3 linked regions of the Drosophila melanogaster genome follow. The protein of the gene in region 1 interacts with the protein of each later gene in a pairwise test. Each region holds a gene or a part of one and is shown in the gene's direction. Other genes may lie near its edges.

Region 1 (7,877 bases):
CAACCTTTATGCACGCGGCCGGATAAATCTTGTGCACAGCATCGCCAGGTGTGCGTCCTGCCTCGCGATCCAGATAATAGCTTTGTACGAAAACTGAATTGTCACTAAGACAGCGCAGCCAGACGTCGCCCTCCCCACGCAGATCCAATTGCACGCCCTTGCCGATGTGGAGCCTGCATGGAACTTGGTAATTAATCCCTGCTCTGCAAGTTACTCCCAGGGGGATGTACTCACCTGGCCCGTTCCGATTGTTCAGTGCGATGAACATTGCTCAAGGCGCCCAGACAGAATCGATTGCCTCCAGAGGGATCCACATAGCCGTCGATGATTACGTTCGGTTTCGCTGACGGCACCTTGAAGGTCTCGCCCACTTGCGTGTCCAACTCGAAGTATGCGATGGAGCACCAGTATTCCGGCGGCGGTTGGCGAGACAGGAGGCGTGGTTGCTGCTGTTGTTGTTGCTGCTGCGGAGGCGTCTGTTGCGGGGAGCCGAGGTCACCCGAAAGCGACGAATTCCCTGGAAAATGAAGGACAGGGATTACAAAGTCGCACAGTGGGCTACATAGCCTAGACTTACAGAAGCCCCCGGGTAGAGAGCGCGGATCTGGTGGTTGCATAGACTGCGTGTAGGTGAGGGTGTTGGGCCCTGTCCAGGTGCCAGCCGCACCGCCTCCGGCGCCAGCCTGAGCCCCAGCAGACCCAGTATTGGCCTGCACACCGGTCGGTGGCTGCTGCGGCTGCTGTGGTGTGGGTTGGGCTGTGCCAAAGACGCCACCACCTCCAACGGGAGCACTGCCCGCGGATCCTGGCTGCGACACGTAGCCGTTTTGCTGGGCGTGGACGGACGGGGCCACCGAGGTGCCACCCCCACCGGCACCTTGCATCTGACTAACAGGAGGTGGCTGTCCATAGTACTGCCCTCCAGCTGCTGCTCCACCGCCGGCATTAACTGATCCATTGGGCACACCGCCTGATTGCTGCTGTTGCTGCTGCTGCTGTTGTTGTTGCTGCTGCTGCTGCTGCTGCTGTTGTTGCATGGCCAGTGCGGAGGCGGGATCTGTGGGCGAATTGGCCTGGGTATGGTGCACCCCATTGCCCTGGGGATTCTGAGCCTGCTGCGGCGGGGGTGGGGGTGCCATCACGGGACCGGGATTCATTGGACCAGGCATGCCCGGCATACCGTGAGGCACAGCTGAAAGTTGATTTTGGGAAAAGATTAATGTGTATTCAACTAATTGTTAATAAGACAAATATTATAATAGTTTAAAATCCAACATATGAGAAAAATTGTAATTAAAATTCGATTTTCGAAGCTTCAACTATAATCAAGGCCATATCCTTACGGAGTGAGTGAGCAGCTGCCTGCGATTGTGCCTGCTGCTGCTGTGTAGGTTGCGGGGTTTGCTGCTGCGGCTGCTGCTGTTGTTGCTGCGGGGGCTGACCCAGCCGGGGGGGAGGCGGTACCATCCAAGAGCCACGCGACCCAGCAACTCCATCCTGGGGCTCGATTTTTGGTATTGTGCGCCCGGTGGGAAACATTGCACTCATGGGATTGGCATCGCCAACTACGCAAAGTCAACATAAAATCGCCAAAAGGAAACAAATATAAATAAATTATTAAAACCAAAGAAATAAACGAATGTAAACAATTAAGTAAAATGAACAATTCAGTTTAAAATTATAAATAATATAGAAAAATTATCAAGAAATCCAGTATCGAAAACTCAAACTATATCGAATTAATGTCAATACTGTAGTCTTACCATATTCAGAGGGACCCTGTGGATATCCGTAGCCGCCGGGCCCCACCATTTGCGTGGGATGGTGCTGTATGGTGCCGATGTCGTTGCCATCGATGTCCATGCTGCCCACCAGCGGACCCGCTGAGTATTCGTCCTTCACCAGGCGACTGGGGCCCGACTGCAGACTCAGGCCGGACAGATCGATGCCCGGAGAGACGACGCGCTCGTAGTGGTAGGGATTCACGCACACCGAGTCGCACTTGAGATCGAAGGCGAAGGCGCAGTACTTGACGTGCTTCAGCTCGTTCTTGTGCAGGTCAGGCCAGCGCCAAATCCGGGCGTATATGACGTGCGGAAAACCCTTGCGTCCAGCAACCTTCGATAGAGAATGGTAAAGTGGTAAGTTCATTGCTTATACACATTATCAAATTCGATGCAGAAAGTCTGAGAGACTCAACCTACCTGCAAGCGACCATCGAGGGTGCGCTGTATGGTCACGCACTTGCTGGGATGGGCTCCGTTCGTGGTGATGGCCGTGATCAAGGAGTCCAGTTCGTCGCGCTTCTCCTTGAGCTTTTTGACCAGCGACTCGATGGCTCGCTTGGCAAATCCCTCGCTTTCGCCGCCCTGCCGATGGCACATCAGCGAGTGGACGATGCTCAGACAGGCGTCCGCCGATGTGGGGGCGTTCGAGGGCGGCGGCGGCATTTGCACCATGTCCCGGACAATTACTGCAGATGGTGGGGGTAATTAGCTCTGAGTTTTTTTAGTAGATCAACGGATACTGTACAGCTCAATCCAATTTCATTTTAAATTTCAAAGAGTTTCAAGTTTATCAACAGTAAATAATAATGCTACGGTAAGATTTAGGATTGTCCACAATACTTGGCCACAAATCGATTTTAGAATAACAACTCGAAAAGGAGTTCACTATGACTGCTGCTCCTCTAGAGAACTTCACTTACTGTCCTGCGGGGCTACGGCGCCGTACATGTGGGCGGGCGGACACGCCCCCGAGCCGCCGCCCATGCCAAAGTCCTGGGCGAGCGAGCCCAGAGTGCGAGCATGGGCATCCACGGCGGCGTTGTTGCTGGATCCGGATCCGGAATGGGGATCGTGAGCGGCGGAGAGCGGAGTGGGGATCGTACGGTGGCTGGAGCAGGCGTAATCGAAGCCGGCGGCGGGCAAAAACAAGGCGTAGAATCACTGGCCAAAGAAAAGCCAAACAAAGGCGGCACGCGAATGTGAGCACAAAACAAACGGCGGCTGGATGGCTTTGTGTGAGTGGGCTTGGGGGGTGTTGCACACACGCATACACACACACACGCGCGCGCTGAACTAACTCGACTTGAACTCCCACAAAGTTGGCGTAATTTCCCTGCGAAAACTCTCCTCTCCTTCGTCTTCTCCACCTCCTTCTTTACGCACACTGGCACACGCACTGCACACACACACGCCCAGCGAGAAGTTTCCTGCTCAAATCCTTGGTAGAGACTGGCTTTTACTGTTTTTCGTGGAATTTCATAGTTTGCACTTAATTGGCTGCTTGGGAAACTCGAAAGTACAATTTTCCGCCCGACGAAATCCAGTTTTCCAGCCAATTTGCCTTTTTTTCCTTTTTTATTTTGTTGCGGCTGTGCAGAGTGACCGTTTCGCGATACAACATGGGCGGGCGTTGCCAGATGGGCAAAGCGCGAAATACCTACCTTGGATTTTTACAAACACCTAGTTTGGTCAGTTCTCGAAGATTTGATTTGAGAATAAGTTTATATTTTTTGGAAATAAGAAGCAAGAAAAGCAGATACTGATCAAAACGCAGAGGCATCCGGGTAAGTGCCATGAGATTTGTTACACCGACTTACACTCATTTCGCGGGCTGTTCAGTGCGTAAAACGAACTTTTTGAAAGGCCGAAAATCAATCGCCACGCGTTTTTTCCCATTCGCATGTGTGTGTGTGTGTGACGAAATTGAGGAAAGTTTCTTATCGTTGAGATTGGGGAAAATCGAAGGCTGAACATCTTGTGCAACAAGTTAATTGATGTTTTCGCATTCCCATTGAAAAGTTTCTTTCCATTGCTTTAATTGCTAAAATTCATTCATAAAAAATTGCCGTTGATGAGTCGTTTGTGTGACAGGTTGTTTCTAGAAATATGCATGTGTGTGTAGTGGGGCCTGAAATAGACCACCCCCTTCCCCTCTTCTCTTGAAAATGTTCACTTGGCAACAGTAACGAATTTCCTTTTCGCCGGAAATGCATTTCTCCGGCTTTTGTAAAACAGTTTGCTGCGTAGTTTCCATCTTCAAAATATCTTATCAAAATGCGTAATTTCAACGCTTATCTGAACGGAATTTCGATTTGCGGCGTACATATGTAAATATGTTTATATTTTGGCAATGACATTGATTGTGAAATTATGTGTGGGAAGTTTGCGATTCCCTGCCAAAACAGAAGCTTCCATTTGTAATAGTAATTTGGGAACTCAATTTAACTTCGAGGATTTGTTGCCCTCATATTTTTTAATTCCCTAACTAATTAAATCACTTGTCATAAAATTGTCTACATCCCGCATTCAGAAGCATAAAGTTATTATTTAATCCCTATCAGGCTTACGGTGTTGAAAATTGTTCGACACCAAAAAGAATTATTGCGGGCTTATTTGAGTTCGGTGTTCAAAATTGTTCGACATCAAAAAAGAATTATTGCGGGCTTATTAGGGTTCGATAACATTACAGCGAAATGTTAGTTAACAGAGAGAATCGAATAACATACACATCGATAGTGAGGGACTATCGCTTCCGCTGGCTTAGGGTATTTTATAGTACAAATTTCAGTTCGCACCAAATCTGTGGAACTTGTAGGCCTACTGGTAACACTGGTCGCTCACAATATTCTTCATTCGTAAAAAAACAACAAAGCGGAGAAGTACCGTTTTTGCGAGCGCGAGTGTTTGAATGTGTTTGTTTGCTTAGGAATAGAAAATAGAAATTGAAAAGGACCAAGTGCAAACGTACAAAGCTTTGCTAAAGCAGAACTAAAAAAAATCAGCAGGAGGAAAATGCACAGCTGATGGAGAAAAGTCCCAAGCACCTTCAGCCCAGTGTGTGTGGGAAAAATCGATCCGCAGACGGGAAAAATTGAGGATAAAATGCCAGCCTAATAAACAGAGTTCCAATTGTGATACAAACGCAGTACAAATTAGTTAACAACTAGCTTAAATGGCCAACGACAAGGTTTTATAGCTAACTATCTGACGCAATTGAATAAGCGTAAAGCTGCCAGCCAATTTATTCACTTATTTTCGAGTGCAATAGAAGCAAAAATTCACAACTAAACAAAGTTCATCTCAACATTCCTGCGCAACACAAAACAACAAAATGGCTGTAAAAACGTAAGAAAATGCTAAATTTATTTAAGAGTGGAAAAGTCGATAAAATGCAAAAAGAGAATCAAGGTTTTTTTCTTCATCTATCAGATGATTTTGTTTGTAGGAAAAAAGAAATTATATTAGGCATACATACAAAATTCGTTCATTTACGTGTTTGTTTCGCTTCCATTTGTTTCACAGCTGTTTGTCTGGTGTTTGTGTGTGTAAGCGAGAGAGTGGATTTGGGGTCCGCTATTCGTAGGTCGTTGCTTACAGAGTGAGCGAGAGGGTCGAACGAGGGGTGGGCGAGGAACTATGCTGCTTGCAGTGGTATGTGTGTTTGAGGGGCTGTGCTTTTTATGCAAGCTGTACAACATACATATGTAATGAGACTAATGTACGCCTTTGTTTCCTTGGCACCGCCTTATTCGCCTAGAAAACCCATTCCTATTGCCTTCCCCCATTTGCATATCTGTTTTATTTCCAATTTGCGTCAATTGTTTTACTTCATATTCCCCTTTTCCTTTGTTGTTCTCCCCACAATTTGTGTGTTCCGCTTCCAAAGTTCCCTTGCCATCGTACACACACGCGAGCTGCAAACAAAGACTTTGTATGTGTGTATGTTGTTCCCATTCGGATTTTTACCTCATACACACACTCACACCAGCACAGCAACTTGATTGGTTTGGGAGTGTGCGTGCTCTGGCTTGGAATTGCGTCAGCCAAAAATAAAATATGTGCGACGGATAAAACTACTTGTTTTCGTTTCAAAAACACTTTTGCTCATTTTAGGAAGCAACTTGTTTCTGGAAAACACAAGTAACAACTGCTATTACATTCCGTTTTGTACCCCGTTTCTCCTGATTTCACCTTCAGCGCATTTACTTTGTTTTCTGGGTCATATTTGTTGATTTCAATTTGTTGCGCAGTCGCAAAGTCGCGCAGAATTGCTTAATTTGTTGATTTTCATATTTTCCATAGCCTCCAAAATAATATAAATACAACGCATAAAACGACCCCACGCACGCATACTAATGAAACAGTTGGGTTGGTGTGGGTGTGTGGGTGTTGCTGTACCGTTGTTTTATTTATTCCTCTCCACACTTGTTTACATGTAAAAAGGTCTCTTCTATTCTCTGCCTACCTTCTTTGTGGAATGAATAGAGATGGGAACGGGTGTGAAAAGGGGAGAATTCATCATTAACCCTTAGGTGGGCAATGTCCAACTATTTGGGTCACGTCTACTAAGTAAGTCGCTTTTGGAATAAAGAGATTAACTTACAATTCCCGTTTATATATTCCCCTAAAGCCATTGAACCAAAATGATTAGTTTAAGGCTAAATAACCCGAAATCCAGCTGACATCTATTTGGCTTCCACTTGTGGTTAGGGTGGCGCCTTTTTAGCAGATATCGTCTGCTTTCTACCTGTTTTCTTCGATTTCAGTATGCCATGAAATTCGTGTGTCTGCAAAACGACAGACGGCCCAAAGTGAAATTCAATGCCAACACTTGAGAGACAGCTGACCATCCCAAAAAGCCATATGTACATATATACCACGATTCCCATTCCCGGAGATTCAAAGCCAGAAAACCCAGAAAAAGCACTCAACTGAACCGATTTCAACCCCCTTCCCTTCGACTTTCCCCCCATTTCCAGCTCGTGCCAGGCGACTTTTCGAGTCCCACCCCTTTCTAATTGAATTTCACGAAAGGTGACGAAATAAATCCCATGGTCCCGACTGCAGCTGCCCTTTCCCTCTATTTGCACTGCAGCTGCTCTCCTCTGGAGGCATTTCTATGGGTTTTGTGACAAATGCGATAAGATCGAGCCGCTTTATCTATCGAACCCATGTACTTACGTCATGGAATGTTACGAAACGTCCGCCTCTTCTCCGATAAGCGAATCCCGGTCTATAAGTCATCAATGGGATTGCAGTGTACCACCAGCCAGTTATCTAAATGTCAGCCAAAGGAACCTTGGATATAGAACGCGTGTACAGGGAATACAGCCTACAGTCGTAATTAAGCCCATGCGATAACTTGAGGCCAGCAATTACGCCGATAAACATAGAAGCCTCTATAGGGAGGAAATTTTCTCCAATTACGCCTGGAAAATTTCCTGCGGAACATGAGCTTTGCTATTTACTTGGTCGAGGGATCCTCTTGCACTTGGATACACGAATATTTCTAAAAGTACCCAAACAAATGCAATTTCTGATAGCATGGTAACCCAGCTCTTCAGGAGAATGAATCATTAGACCACTGCCTTTGTGTTCGATCATATATATTCAAAAAACCAACTAGCGTCCCCGTCCCTTTGTTATTTTGGGACTTTGAACTACGACTGCGTTGACCGCGATTAGCACTCGCTTATCATTCCTTTTGGGCACGCTCCTCAGACGCTCAGCCGACGCTGCAGTGACTCCGACTTTGGGCACGTTCGCTTCACGTCAGAGAAATTCTTGTACTGCATTTCCGTTGATAATGGTCAGTGCGCGGGTGCAAATCGCTAGTCCATTGGCAGATAGCCGACGAAAACATTGATTCCAAAACCAAGGAAGCTACGAGAGGGCACTGGAAAACAGGCTTGGCAAAGGTCGATCGCCTGATAGATGTGGTGGTGGCACTATTTCCAAATCCAGCCAACCCCAGTGCAATGATCTTTTTCTTTTTTTCTTTCGAGGTCTTTTCTTTTCTTTTCTTTGTTCGTTAGTGTATCTTTCGTATCTTTTGCAGCACATGCCAATGCAGCTGCTGCAAGATCTATT
Region 2 (6,384 bases), 6.0 Mb from region 1:
GGTGGGCAAACTGCTGTTCCGGAACTCTGCTGATGGCATCAAAAGGATTTGTCTCGAGCTCGGCGGCAATGCTCCGTTCATTGTCTTCGATTCGGCGGACATTGAAAAAGCAGTGGATGGCGCCATGGCCTCGAAGTTTAGGAATTGCGGACAGACCTGCGTCTCCGCCAATAGATTCTTTGTCCAGGACAGCGTCTACGATAAGTTTGTTGGGCAGCTGAAAAAACGCGTGGAAGCTTTGAAGATCGGAGATGGTCAGGGTTGCGATGTGCAAATCGGACCACTGATCAACGAGATGCAGTTCAACAAAGTCAGTGGCTTTGTGGAGGACGCCAGGTCGAAGAAGGCGAACATTATTCTGGGCGGACAGCCGTTGCCCGACAAGGGATCCCTTTTCTACGCACCCACAATTGTCACAGATGTGCCACCCTCGGCGCAACTCTACTCGGAGGAGGTCTTTGGTCCAGTGGTCTCCATCATACGGTTCCGAGACGAAGAAGAAGCGGTAAAGAAGGCAAACGACACCAGGAGAGGCCTGGCCGGTTACTTCTACAGCGAGAATCTGCAGCAGGTGTTCCGGGTGGCCAAGCGACTGGAGGTTGGCATGGTCGGCGTCAACGAAGGCATCATCTCCGCAGCAGAGGCTCCGTTTGGTGGCGTCAAGGAGTCCGGTGTCGGACGGGAGGGTTCCAAACACGGTATCGACGACTATGTGGACATCAAGTACATTTGCATGGGCAACCTCAAGTACGACTGAAGTCCGATGGAGGGATCACCCCCACTGCTTTCATACGCTGTCTTCCACTAGAATGCGATTGGTTTATTGTTGTCTAATTGTAGAATAACACGCCGCTATATTAATAAATGTGCACAAAGTCTACCTGAAGCTAATAGATAATTTCCCTTTTTTAAAATAGCCCGCCTCACCTTTCGATTAATTGGGATTGGTTAACAATCGCTTTAAATTGACAAGAAACCGATCATAGAGACATCGATATCCGGGAGTAATCGATTTTTCTCCACCTCTGGGCAGACTATCGCCATCCCCACAGCTGTGCGACAGAGACAGAGACAAAATTACAATGCCAAATGACAAAATTGTAAGTAAATTGTTGATAAAAAATTAAAAAGTGCATTTAGGGTGGAAACTAAGCGAATGTCTTATTGGTGAAGTGTGTGCAGTGAAATTGGTCAAGTGTTTCCCTATAGCTACCCACCAAAAAAGCCGGCAAACAATGTCGGTTTTCCAGTTCGCTGGCGTTTGTTGTTGTTGCCTAAATGTATGGAAAATATATTTAAAGTGCATTTCAGCCGGCAAAAGCGAAGCATATAATGCATAATGAACCCATTTGGAAGCACTCCCGGCAGTGCAAATCCACTGCAAGTCCCGAAATGCGGCCAAAGGTGCTGGCGGTGAAATTGAATGGTACCATGACTTGTAGATTTTCCACTGAAAGAGTGCAGTCTAGGCGGCAGTAGGACTGAGGGGAGTGTGCGGGGGTTTTGAGACCAAAAACCGATCCAAAAACCAAATAAATTATTAACAATTGTTGGCTGCAATCCGCCTGGGGGAAATGCATTTGAGGATATTTCTGTCTAATAAAGCAATTTCTGGTTGATAGGGTGCTACACTCAGAAAAATGTCTCTGCGTAAAATTAATTTTTGAAATATATGTTTTGTAAAATAAGAAAACTGCACATACCAGTAAATAGCACAACTTAAAATTTTAAATACAAATTTAATATAATTTTTTTGTTTTAAAACTGCATGCAGCTTGTCTTTCAAAATGCTGTTTTATTTTTTATTTAAAGCTCATACAATTACAGATCCGAATTTACATATACAGGCATTAGTTCTCTTTTTAACTATGCACTCATTTTGGCAACGAATTGCATTTGTTTTTAATTGCGATGCCAGATAAATTTCCGCAGTCAAGTTCGCGCCTTCATGACGTACAGTTCGAAACACTAAGCAAAAAGCCCTACAGGCTTTGGTAGCTAATAGCTACACTTGACAATCCCCCTTACCCAATCTACCACCCACCACCGCCCACACAAGAGCCCACCCAACCGCCCATCACCCAGTGACCCGTCCAGAAAGTCCAGAAAATGGCCTGTGCACCACTGCTGCTCGAGCAATTCATCTACAAGAAGCGCAATTTCGCCTACGCCTTTGTGCGCCATCGTCTGTTTGTGTTATGTAAACAATCGGTTGGATCAGAAATTGCCAAATTCACCTGTCCTAGTACTAATTAGAATCTGTTATTCATTTGTTAATTCCAGCTAATTCGCGTTCAGTCGGCGGAGGGCATCAAACGCATCGAGATCTCGCCCAAGTCAAATCTAAAGCATCTGTACGACAGCGTTCAGAATGCCCTGAAGGTGGATGGATTTGGTCTCTTCAAGGAGCGCAACTTCCTCACAGAGCTGCAGGCAAGTGGCTCCCAGCTGGTGGGGACTTCCTTGAGGCATGGCGACATGGTCTACTTAAAACAGATGGCTGGCACATCATCGCGCGTAAGTTGATCATATAGAGCAGAACGATCGGGGACTAACCTGCATTTTTCACCACTTCTCAGCGCACTAGCACCACTGTCCTGGACAGTCAGGCGTTCAAGACTAGCACCATTAGCAATCCAAACAGCGCTCGTCCATCCTTCAATGTGATCGAAGATGACGTGGACCAGGCTCTGAGCAAGGCTGATGGCACCATTAAGCGCGAACGTGATAGCAAGCTGTAGGCCTTGATTATACAATTAATTGTAAAATTAAACTGATCAACCTATAACTTTTTGTAGGTGCCACCACAATGCCAACGGCCGTTGCGTTCACTGCTCCGCACTGGAGCCCTATGATGAGTCCTATCTGAAGGAGCACAATATCAAGCACTTGTCCTTCCACTCGTACATACGAAAGCAGACATCCGGCATGGATCAGGGCAAGTACTTTGTCTTCGACGACATCAATTGCCGCATCAAGCCGGGATGTCGCGAGCATCCACCATGGCCCAAGGGCATCTGCTCCAAGTGCCAGCCGTCGGCCATTACGCTGAATCGTCAGACATATCGCCACGTGGACAACGTCATGTTCGAGAACACTAAGATCGTGGAGCGCTTCCTCAACTACTGGCGCACCACAGGACACCAGCGCATGGGATATCTGTATGGGACGTACGAGCAGCACACTGATGTTCCGTTGGGCATTCGGGCCAAGGTGGCTGCCATTTATGAGCCGCCACAAGAGTCTACCAGGGATTCGATCAATATTCAGCCGGATGAGTTCGCCGACGATGTGGATGCCGTAGCCAGTGCGCTGGGACTGAAGAAGGTTAGTTAGTTATAGACAGTAGCTATGTAGCATTAGTATTGACTTTTGTGACATTTATAGATTGGTTGGATTTTCACTGATCTCATCACGGACGATGCGAGTATCGGCACTGTCAAACAGATCCGTGGCATCGAGTCGCACTTTATTACGGCCCAGGAGTGCATCACAGCTGGCGAGCTGCAGAATCGACATCCAAATCCGTGTAAATATGCCTCCAATGGCGTCTTCGGCTCTAAGTTTGTGACCATTTGTGTAACAGGTAAGATTCACGATTTAATACTGCTTAATGAACTAGTACCAAAATAGTTTTTAACATTACAGGAGATAAAACCAAACAAGTGCACATGGAAGGCTATGCGGTTTCGGCTCAGTGCATGGCTCTGGTGCGCGATAATTGTCTGATACCCACTAAGGATGCGCCCGAGCTGGGCTACGTGCGTGAATCCACGGACAAGCAGTATGTTCCCGACGTTTTCTATAAGGTAAGTTAGAAAGTCTCCCCCCCATTCAAGCAAAATCAGTTATCGGGCAACCTTTATTGAATTACGTTCACACATTTACACAAACAACTTCCATATTTAGACATCAATACGAATGGGATTTGGTTTTTCAGTTTGATACATGCAAAGAAAATTTGGGTGTCAAGAGCAACGCCAATTCAAACATTTGACATCTAGAGGCTTACATTATCTTGGATTACGTTGATTTATTTATGGAACAACTTCATTATTTTCCTTATCCTTCTCGGTTTGTACTTCTCATCATTGCTCTGGGTTCTCCTTCAAACGTTCATTTTATTTTTCCTATACCTAGGACATTCATAAACAATGTTGTTATTTAGCGCATATTCAATTGTTAAAATAACTTTCTGAGCAACTGCCAAGCCAATCACAATTTTCCAGTTATTACCCTTATTTTTTTTTATTTATTTTTATTTTGCCAAACTGTTTTGTTCTATCTAATGCTTAATTGTGATACGCGTTTTTATTATTTTGGAAAATATAAGATTTCGATTTGATTTTTTTCTTTTCAATTGAAGTTAATCGTTGATTGATTGATTACTTAAAATAATTTAAAGTATAATAAGTCTACAAATTTCGTAAAATTGATTTCGATTTGTTCCTAAAAAGATTCTTTGCCTTCCTTTACATCGCTAAGGTCATATTATTACTTGATTCCCTTATTTTTATGGATGGCTATTCTTGGCGTTCATTATTTCATCCATCACAAACATAGCCTTAGTTATGATCACATCAAATGCATATTTAGACACCGAAAACTATCTCGTTTATTTACTTATTGCTAATAGGTTTATTTCATATTAATTATTAACTTGAATTGACATTAATTACATGTCAGCTATGTATTTGGATTTCACCTTACTCGTGGTTTCAAATTTTTAAGTTTTTATTGTAGCTAATTTACTATATCCAGGTATCGTCGTAGCGCTCCAACGCACATTTAGTGTCGTTTTCCTTAAGCTAAACTTATTTAAATACTCAAGGTCTGTTACAATTTCCACCTTGTCCATGAATCTGAAATGTTTATAGATCATTGATAGTCTTTTTTTTATTTAAAATAGCATCCAAAACGTTTCAATAAGTTGTAAATTGTTTATAAAAATTCTTTCTTTCTTTGTTAAAAAAATTGGCTTCTGTTGCTGAAAATGTCGAGTTTCAAGTGTCTTACATTGATCGTTTATTTTTACAAAATTTATACCAAGATTTGCATTCCAAGAATAAAATAGATATTGGGTGGTGTTGTACATTCAAAGTGTTTAGGAGCTTTCGGTTTGATACTGTTCGATAAGTAGGATTAGCTAATGGATCAGTCGGACTTATTATTGGTTTAAATGATATTCCCCACAATTCCGGATAATGCTCCTAAGGGCCGGGCGTCCTAGAGCATTGCCACTGGCCGCAATTCGGTCCACCAGCTCAATGCCCTGGACAATGAATCCGAAAATGGCGGTGAAGGATCGCATCTCGTTTAGCACCAGCCGAAATTGGCTGCCCACAAATCCACTTCTGTCCTGTCGCCGCTGTCCCCTGCGCATACCAACCGTTCCCCGATGTGCCGGCAATCCCGTTTCGTCTGGCAAAAAGTATCTGCTCTCAAAGGCCGAGTGCCCACCGCGTCCGTTCTGCGATTCAAAGTCGCCGGTGATGATGCTCTCGCCTCCCCAGGCCTGAAAGACAGTGCAGCCACGATAGCCATAGCCCCGCTCGTGCCGCACCAGCGCCCCAAAGTTGTCCGCCATCCGGGGAGCAGCATCAGATCGCACCTCGATTAGGACCCGTCCGGCCAGTTCTCCTGCTATTTCCATGTCCAGAAAGTAGATGGGGTAACAGTGAACGATGGGCTGACGCACAATGCTTACCGATGAACTCGTACCGCCATCCTGTCGATGATGATCATGGCTTTGTTGACCAATTAGCTGCGGCTCCACCGAGTTGACGAGAATCGCATCTGGCTGGTAAATTGAGTGGGTAAGCTGGTGTACTTGCTGCTGCTGCTGCTGCTGTTCCTGTTGCACTTGCTGCGGCTGCTGTTGCAACTGGCGCACCAATTCTCGAAGTCCATATTCCGTGTCTAGAGCAATATAATTGCTTTGGCTGTTTGTACTGCTGCTGCTGTTCGGCGACGAGGAGGATTCGTGTGAACCATCATACGGAGGTTGACTGAGCGTTCGAAACTGCTCGAGTTCGATCTGCTGCACATAATCCAGAAGTTCCACCTCCCGCAGGCTATTATTGAAATGCGGAGGCACCACAGCTCGCCGCGGTTCCGGCAGTAATTCTGGATCCGGTGTCAGATTCCTGTGGCGTGGAGGAATCATTTCGCGCTGCATCTCGCACCAGTAGGCGTACACACAGTAGTTGGTGAGGATGAGCGCCTGCGGTGGCCCCACATTGGCGGGAATAGCACCGGGCCGACGATGACTGCGTAGCCGTGCGATCCTGTTATTCAGAGTCTCAAAGTCCAGGACCTGCATCCCGTTCTCCTGAATTGCGGCTTGCATTCGACATTGAAAGTGCACCTGGTCCAACTGGCGCT
Region 3 (6,113 bases), 4.0 Mb from region 1:
CCTCGAATTGTCCCAGGAATATGTGCGAGTTGCCAAGATTACTGTTGGCCCTTCGCTCAGCCGCGCGATCACCAAACTCTCTGGCAATGCGCAGTCGCTCCTGATGATGCTCAATGGCCGCTTGGAAATCGCCTAGTAGGTAGTAGGTATTTCCCAGATTACCACAAGCTCGACCTTGAGCACCACGATCACCCAGATCCCGCATGAGCTTCAGATTCTCCTGGTAAAACTCCACGGCACGGGTGAGCGCCTCCTTGACATCGTCGCCGAACTTTCCAGGGTTTCTCTGACCCAAGTGCTTGCCCTTGGCGTGGTAGACATTTCCTAGGTTGTAAAGAGCGCGTCCCTCGGACAGACGATCTCCCAGCTGCCTGGCCAGCGTTAGGTGCCTCTCGCAACAGATGGCCGCCTCGTCGAAGCGACCCATTACCTTGAGGGTGTTGCCCAGATTGCCAGAGGACTTGGCCTCGCCCAGTCGGTCGTTCATGCTCTTGGCCAGCGTAAGATCGTGTTTGTGGTACTGCATCGCCTTGTTGTAGTCGCCTAGGTAGAAGTAGGCGTTGCCCAGCTGGGAGTAGATGGCGGACAGAGTGCGAAGATCCTCGGTTCCGGCCTGAATGGCCGCCTGGAAGAAGGCCACGCCCGCCCGGCAGTCACCCGCCTTGCAGAGGCGTTCACCCTCGAGGGCCAGTTCCAGGCACATACTGGATCCTCCGTCGGATCCGGAACCCTGCTGGGAGTTGCCGTCGTGGGAAGTAGTTCCTCCTCCGCCCGATCCCAGTCCCAAACTGGACACATTCTCCGCGGACGCAGAGAGCGAGGACATTCTGCTGCGAAGTCTCGCCTTTTTGTCGCGATGCTCCTTTTTGAGGGGCAGGTGCTCTGAAAACTGGGAGTTGTCCACTTTGCGGCGATGTTTTGGGGTCGATCTTTGGGGTTTTTAGCTAGCCTCTGGCTGGTTTTGAACTGCTGGTGGGTAAACTTAACTGCGACAGGTGAAATTTCAGCAATTAAGCGATCTTTTGTACCGTTTTTTTGACTAATTAGTGCGTTTCTGATTCACGACCAGTGTGACCGATTGGGGTCGATGAGAATACCAAGCAGATTAGAAAGAAATACCAACTTTATATGGTATGTCGTTGGATTTAAAAATAATATCTGTTATATTTTGTTTTAAGTCAATTGAACAATTTTAAATTACTTGTTATTTTTCCCCTACAACAAAGATACTATGAAAATTATATAAATAATATGCCTTTACCTCATGACCATAGCTTACATATCAGCAATATTTAGTAGCCCAATTGGTAATATTATATATATAATTACATTGTTTGATGGTTAATGTATGCATGCCGTTTGATTTAAAACTAATTTTTTTTTAACTTTAAGAAAAAGCAGTTTAAATTCATTTATTAGAATTCGAATTAGAAATCTTATCAGATGGTTGCCCTAATTTGAGAAATGTTAGCCACTGCAAGACCATAGCTTATAAAGGATCAATACTTATGAGCCAAGCTAAAACACAATTTTATCATAGTCTTTTCTTATTTTTGTAACGTATTAGTAAAATCTAAAATATATTGGCATAGTTAACATTTATCATTTTCGGTCAACAAGCCATAGCCCTCATCCCTATCAACCGTAGTTGGTAGCCAGCACTTTTGCAGACGCGCTTTGCAACACTAATCGCTTCAAAGATGGCGTCACTTCTACGGTGTCTGTGTGAACGATTCTAGTTGCCGCTGGAGAAAATTCGTAATTCTCGCATAAAGCGCACCTGCCGGTTACCAAAATCGATTGAAAAGCGAACGTCCCATATTGCGGCGCGATAAGCGGGTGAAATTGTGGCAGTGCGTGCGCGATAGACTGTTAGAAAAGCAGTGCAAATTGGAAGTCCGGATGCTCGAAGGTGTGTGTGTGCGTCGCTTTTTTTGTGCGGTTTTCAGCTGCAGTCGGCCAACAGTGCAACGCAAACATTGTGTTCTAAATTACATAAAGCAGGGAATTTCTGCACGAAGGCAACCGAAAAAAGGACTAAAAGGAAAAAATTAGCCACACAAAAGGAGAGCGAGTGCGACAGGGAAGGAGGGATACAGAGCGAGCGAGAGGTCGATAACGATAGCCTTGTTTGGTTATCGCCCTCGATAGGAAATAAAAACGGGAGAAAAACTTGAAAGCAGCGGCGTCTTTCAGTTCGCCGGTGTGCCCGTGCGTTGGATGGTATTTTGTGGTATTTTCATTCATTTTTGGGACTGTAGTGTGACCGTGTGTGGGAGAGAGCCGCCTAAATAGAGAGCGCGACGCGCAACAACAGTTTCTGTGGTGAGTTGAAACGAAACTCACCACGCTCTCACCCAGAAATCTGGCACAGTGGTCTCGAAACAAAAGCCAAATGAGTAATCGCACCTGGGGAATCTAGCTAAATATCAGCACCAAACAATTGAAAGTCAGCTAGATGAAAACAATAACAATAGTAATACTATTCGAAGTACTAATACTAATCAATTGGAGGCAGGCTTTTCGTTTGTGTGTGCCTGCTCCCTCTCGCGTATAGTATATACCCATGTGCCAGAGAGAGCAAGCCGAAAACGAAAAGAGAGCGCGAGAGTCGGACGAAGGAAAAAAATATCGCCACAGTTGCCGTATGCCGCCTTCGTCGTCGGTTGCAAAAGATATAGAAATCTTTTATATACACACATACGCAGTCGGTTTTTAATAAATTCTGCAGCGAAAATTCCAAGCCCGAATAAAGAAGGAGAAATAAAAGGCAACTAAACAAAGCCGAGTGCAAAATTAAAGCCAAATTTCCAAGGCGAATGCAAATTTTTCAAGTGCGCAGTAAGCGGCTAAATCCCCAGACGCAATTCGGTGTTTCAAAAGTTTTAATAAATAAATAAATATGTAATTACGCTCGCAATCCAGCCAGCCCGCACACACACACGCACACACAAATACACGCACGCAATCGGTTAGAATTCGTATGAGCATATATATTTTTTACTTATATTATTTTTAGAATATCGATTTTGTGCCGCGTGCGTGTGTGTGTCTCTCTCGCACCGAGTGTGTGTGCCTGTGTGTGTGTTTGAAACATACATATTTATGATAAGTGTGTGTGTCAAGCAGTAAAATGTGTTAAGAATTATGTTCATATAGACACAAGTTACCTAATCTTACTCCTCTTACCTAAATGAGGAAAAAGGCAAAATAGATGAAAGGAATCAACAAACCGAAGTGAAGCAAAAGATAGAGCAAAGGCAACAGCGAAAAGAGCCCCATCAAAACAGCTGCGCTCTCTCACCTTTTACTCATCTTCCCATCCTCTCTCTCTACCCATTCACATTCTTACGCTTCTCCCATTCCCCAAAGTGCGCCCCACTCACTCACACACGTTCGCCATTAAAGATCTTTGTGTATTTTGCTTTGACACCGCATTTACATGTGTTGACCCCACTTGGACAACACAGCCCCCCCCCCCCCTCCCATTCGAACAACCCCCTCCACCCGCGCGATGCGTTGTGCAAAATTCTCTCGTGAACTACAGTTCTAATTCAATTATGCCAACTGCTATACACACATCCACAGTGAAAACCAGCAAGCAGCGCTAAACCGCCAGCCAAAAGCAAAGATAAAACGAGAAAAAGCATCTCCGTGACGTAGGCAAACGCGAGAGCCGAAACCGAAAACCAAAACTGAAACTGAAAAAACTGAGATATCGAGCAGACGAGAATTACAAACTCTGAAATCGAGAAAGGTATGCCAAGACCAACGGAAGTTGGCCCACAGCGAATTTGATTCAAATCGATGCCATTTTGGGCTAAAAGCTCGCTCCATTTCCGTTCCATGCCTAACCCTTGGATAACTAATGTGCCATAAATGAAACTACTAGAAATTCAAATTCAAAATGCTCAGAAAAACAGGGGTTTGAAGGAAGGAAGTCCATCAATACAATAGAATATCATTACCCCTTTCTTATTTAATTAATAGTTATTATTATCCACGAAACACGTAAACTTAAATATCAATTTATATATACTATAGCACATCAAATTGTTAAATGTGTTAAATCAAACATAATGCCAATTGCCAACGTCACCTCAATATGAAATGTCTTAACGAATTAAATAAATGTGGCCAAGGGGTTAAGCCATAACCACCGATTGAAAGTCAGGCAAATAACTGGTTCTAATTGATTGAGTGATTGCTTGAGGGGGTGGGTCAGTGGGGGGGGGGGGGGCAGAACCTGCTCGGCAAATTAACAAGTTCCAATTGATATATACGTGTGGGGACACACGAAATTCGTCGAGCCTACTCGAAATTATCATAAATGTGTCAAAATGGTAAATCAATTCGAAGGGGCAGAACAACTTTAGCTCTATATAGATATATGTAGCTGTAGCTGTCATCGCGGTGACAAGGCCCTCGATTTGCCCTGAAATTAAGCCATTATATATCGCCGCACTGATCACTTTAATTATAATCCATAATCCATGTAATCCACAAGGCAACCCAAGCACGCCCAGCGTAAAGTTCCCAAACCGAACGTGACTAGGGTGCAATTAAGTGGCGATGAAAAAAAGATCACTTAAATTTTCAGCGATTTGATTTCCAGTTTCTAGCTGACAATCGCTTTTTATTGTTCATCCAAGCGGGTTTGTGTCAACTGGCCCACTGTCTATTTGCCCGTTAACTTGGCTTTGACGTCACGGATTTCTAGCGCTTGCAGGATGCAGTCTAGAAGCAACTCCTCTTCAAATAACAGTGCGCAAAAGTAATTAAAAGTTGAGAGGGGAAAACCCTATAAATCAATACCAGGTTGCAAACTGACTTGCTGTAGATATAACAACATTTTTTTTTAGCATCCCTATTGTTATTTATGTTGTTGTGGCCAGGGCGTTTCGCTGCCAATTTCGTTGTTTGAATTCAAATTGGCAACAACCGACGAACTATAAACTATAAGATTTAATGACCCGCTTAATCTATAAGAGCAAAGTTTCTTCCCAATTCTGAAATTTTTCCACCGATTTGTCTATATTTGGCCGGCAATGAACCATTTTCCCGATGACCGACTTCTCGCTAAGACATTTTCTAGTGCATTTTCCTGGAGAGTTTTAGCTTCTGAGCAATTTTAACGAGTTAACCGAGGTAGTCAACCCAAATAAGTGTCATGCCAGCCAGTGTGTGCAACAATTTGTGAGCTCACTTATTGTGTTTTCACTGTAAAGGGGAAGAGGGGGAACGTAATGCTGCCATAAAATGCCTCCGCATACGAATGTGCGCATATGAAGCGCTCCTCCTTGTGGGCTCCCAGTGTCGGGTGAAAGACGAGAGCTCTATTATAAAATTACCAAGTCTCTGGGACATTACTATGTGCCATGTACGTACGACCTGCTTTGCGACTGTTCACCTTTTTGTCGGCGCTAAACGCTGAAAGCCAAACGCACATCTCGCTGGCGGCTTTAACTTTACAGCCTGGCCAACAAAGTTAAAGAGCGTGCTCAGAGGCAATTTGCCTTTTGGCCTGGCCATAAGTTGACTCTTTCTACGCGAATTTCCCTTATGCCCGCTGAGGCTTGGCCACCTCCTGATGGCCACTCCACTCGCTTCTGCACATCGCTGGCTGTCTGTTTTGACATAACTGACCTCACTGCGCTGTTTTCCCTCACATTTTCCTCACCTCGTTATGTACGGATTGCTGAGCCATTTTCCCAAATTTCACACGGAGGAAAAAAGTACCTGAGATACAACAAGATTCTGATTGCGCAACTGGTTTCTGCTATCTCTGAAATGCGATAAATGTTTTCCATCTTTGGTTTTTGTTTTCCAAAGAACCATTTTCATCACTTTGCATCAAAATGTGAAGATTTTACTAGCCAATGTGGATATTACTTTGTATTCCCCAGAGAAACTTCACTACCACCATCATCTTGTTTACCTCATTTCGACTGCCCAAAATAAATCCGAAAGCCATATTTCTTTCAACTCCATTTGAATGCGAACAGATTCACTTTAGCCGGTGGGCTGTAAACAAATCTTTTGTTCCGTATCGAATTGCTTTCCATGCATCGAGTAAAAATATGTATCTTTGGAACGACGCTGGCTTCTCTGCG

The links.
Region 2: the proteins of CycG (region 1) and Npl4 interact in a two-hybrid assay, tested with the Drosophila melanogaster proteins (2 studies listed by BioGRID).
Region 3: the proteins of CycG (region 1) and wdb interact in a two-hybrid assay, tested with the Drosophila melanogaster proteins (5 studies listed by BioGRID).

What each region holds. Positions count from the first base shown.
Region 1 is NT_033777.3:31,606,575-31,614,451, reverse strand, and holds the start of CycG (cyclin G), read left to right. Parts: upstream 1-3,473; 5' UTR 3,474-3,571; intron 3,572-4,636; exon of another isoform or gene 4,637-5,132; intron 5,133-7,877. Other genes in the region: Med (medea), read right to left, coding at 5-173, 235-517, 578-1,192, 1,344-1,565, 1,764-2,118, 2,205-2,473, 2,708-2,771. UniProt on the Drosophila melanogaster protein: Cyclin with roles in multiple processes including transcription, meiotic recombination repair, cell cycle regulation, and promotion of normal growth and metabolism.
Region 2 is NT_033777.3:25,619,305-25,625,688, reverse strand, and holds the start of Npl4 (nuclear protein localization 4), read left to right. Parts: upstream 1-1,943; 5' UTR 1,944-2,109; coding exon 2,110-2,211; intron 2,212-2,283; coding exon 2,284-2,517; intron 2,518-2,579; coding exon 2,580-2,737; intron 2,738-2,798; coding exon 2,799-3,327; intron 3,328-3,387; coding exon 3,388-3,586; intron 3,587-3,648; coding exon 3,649-3,809; intron 3,810-3,850; exon of another isoform or gene 3,851-5,167; coding exon of another isoform or gene 5,168-6,384. Other genes in the region: Ssadh (succinic semialdehyde dehydrogenase), read left to right, coding at 1-757; CG5071 (uncharacterized protein), read right to left, coding at 5,168-6,384. UniProt on the Drosophila melanogaster protein: May be part of a complex that binds ubiquitinated proteins and that is necessary for the export of misfolded proteins from the ER to the cytoplasm, where they are degraded by the proteasome.
Region 3 is NT_033777.3:27,577,801-27,583,913, reverse strand, and holds the start of wdb (widerborst), read left to right. Parts: upstream 1-1,672; 5' UTR 1,673-2,325; intron 2,326-2,370; exon of another isoform or gene 2,371-2,770; intron 2,771-3,588; exon of another isoform or gene 3,589-3,757; intron 3,758-6,113. Other genes in the region: pins (partner of inscuteable), read right to left, coding at 1-826.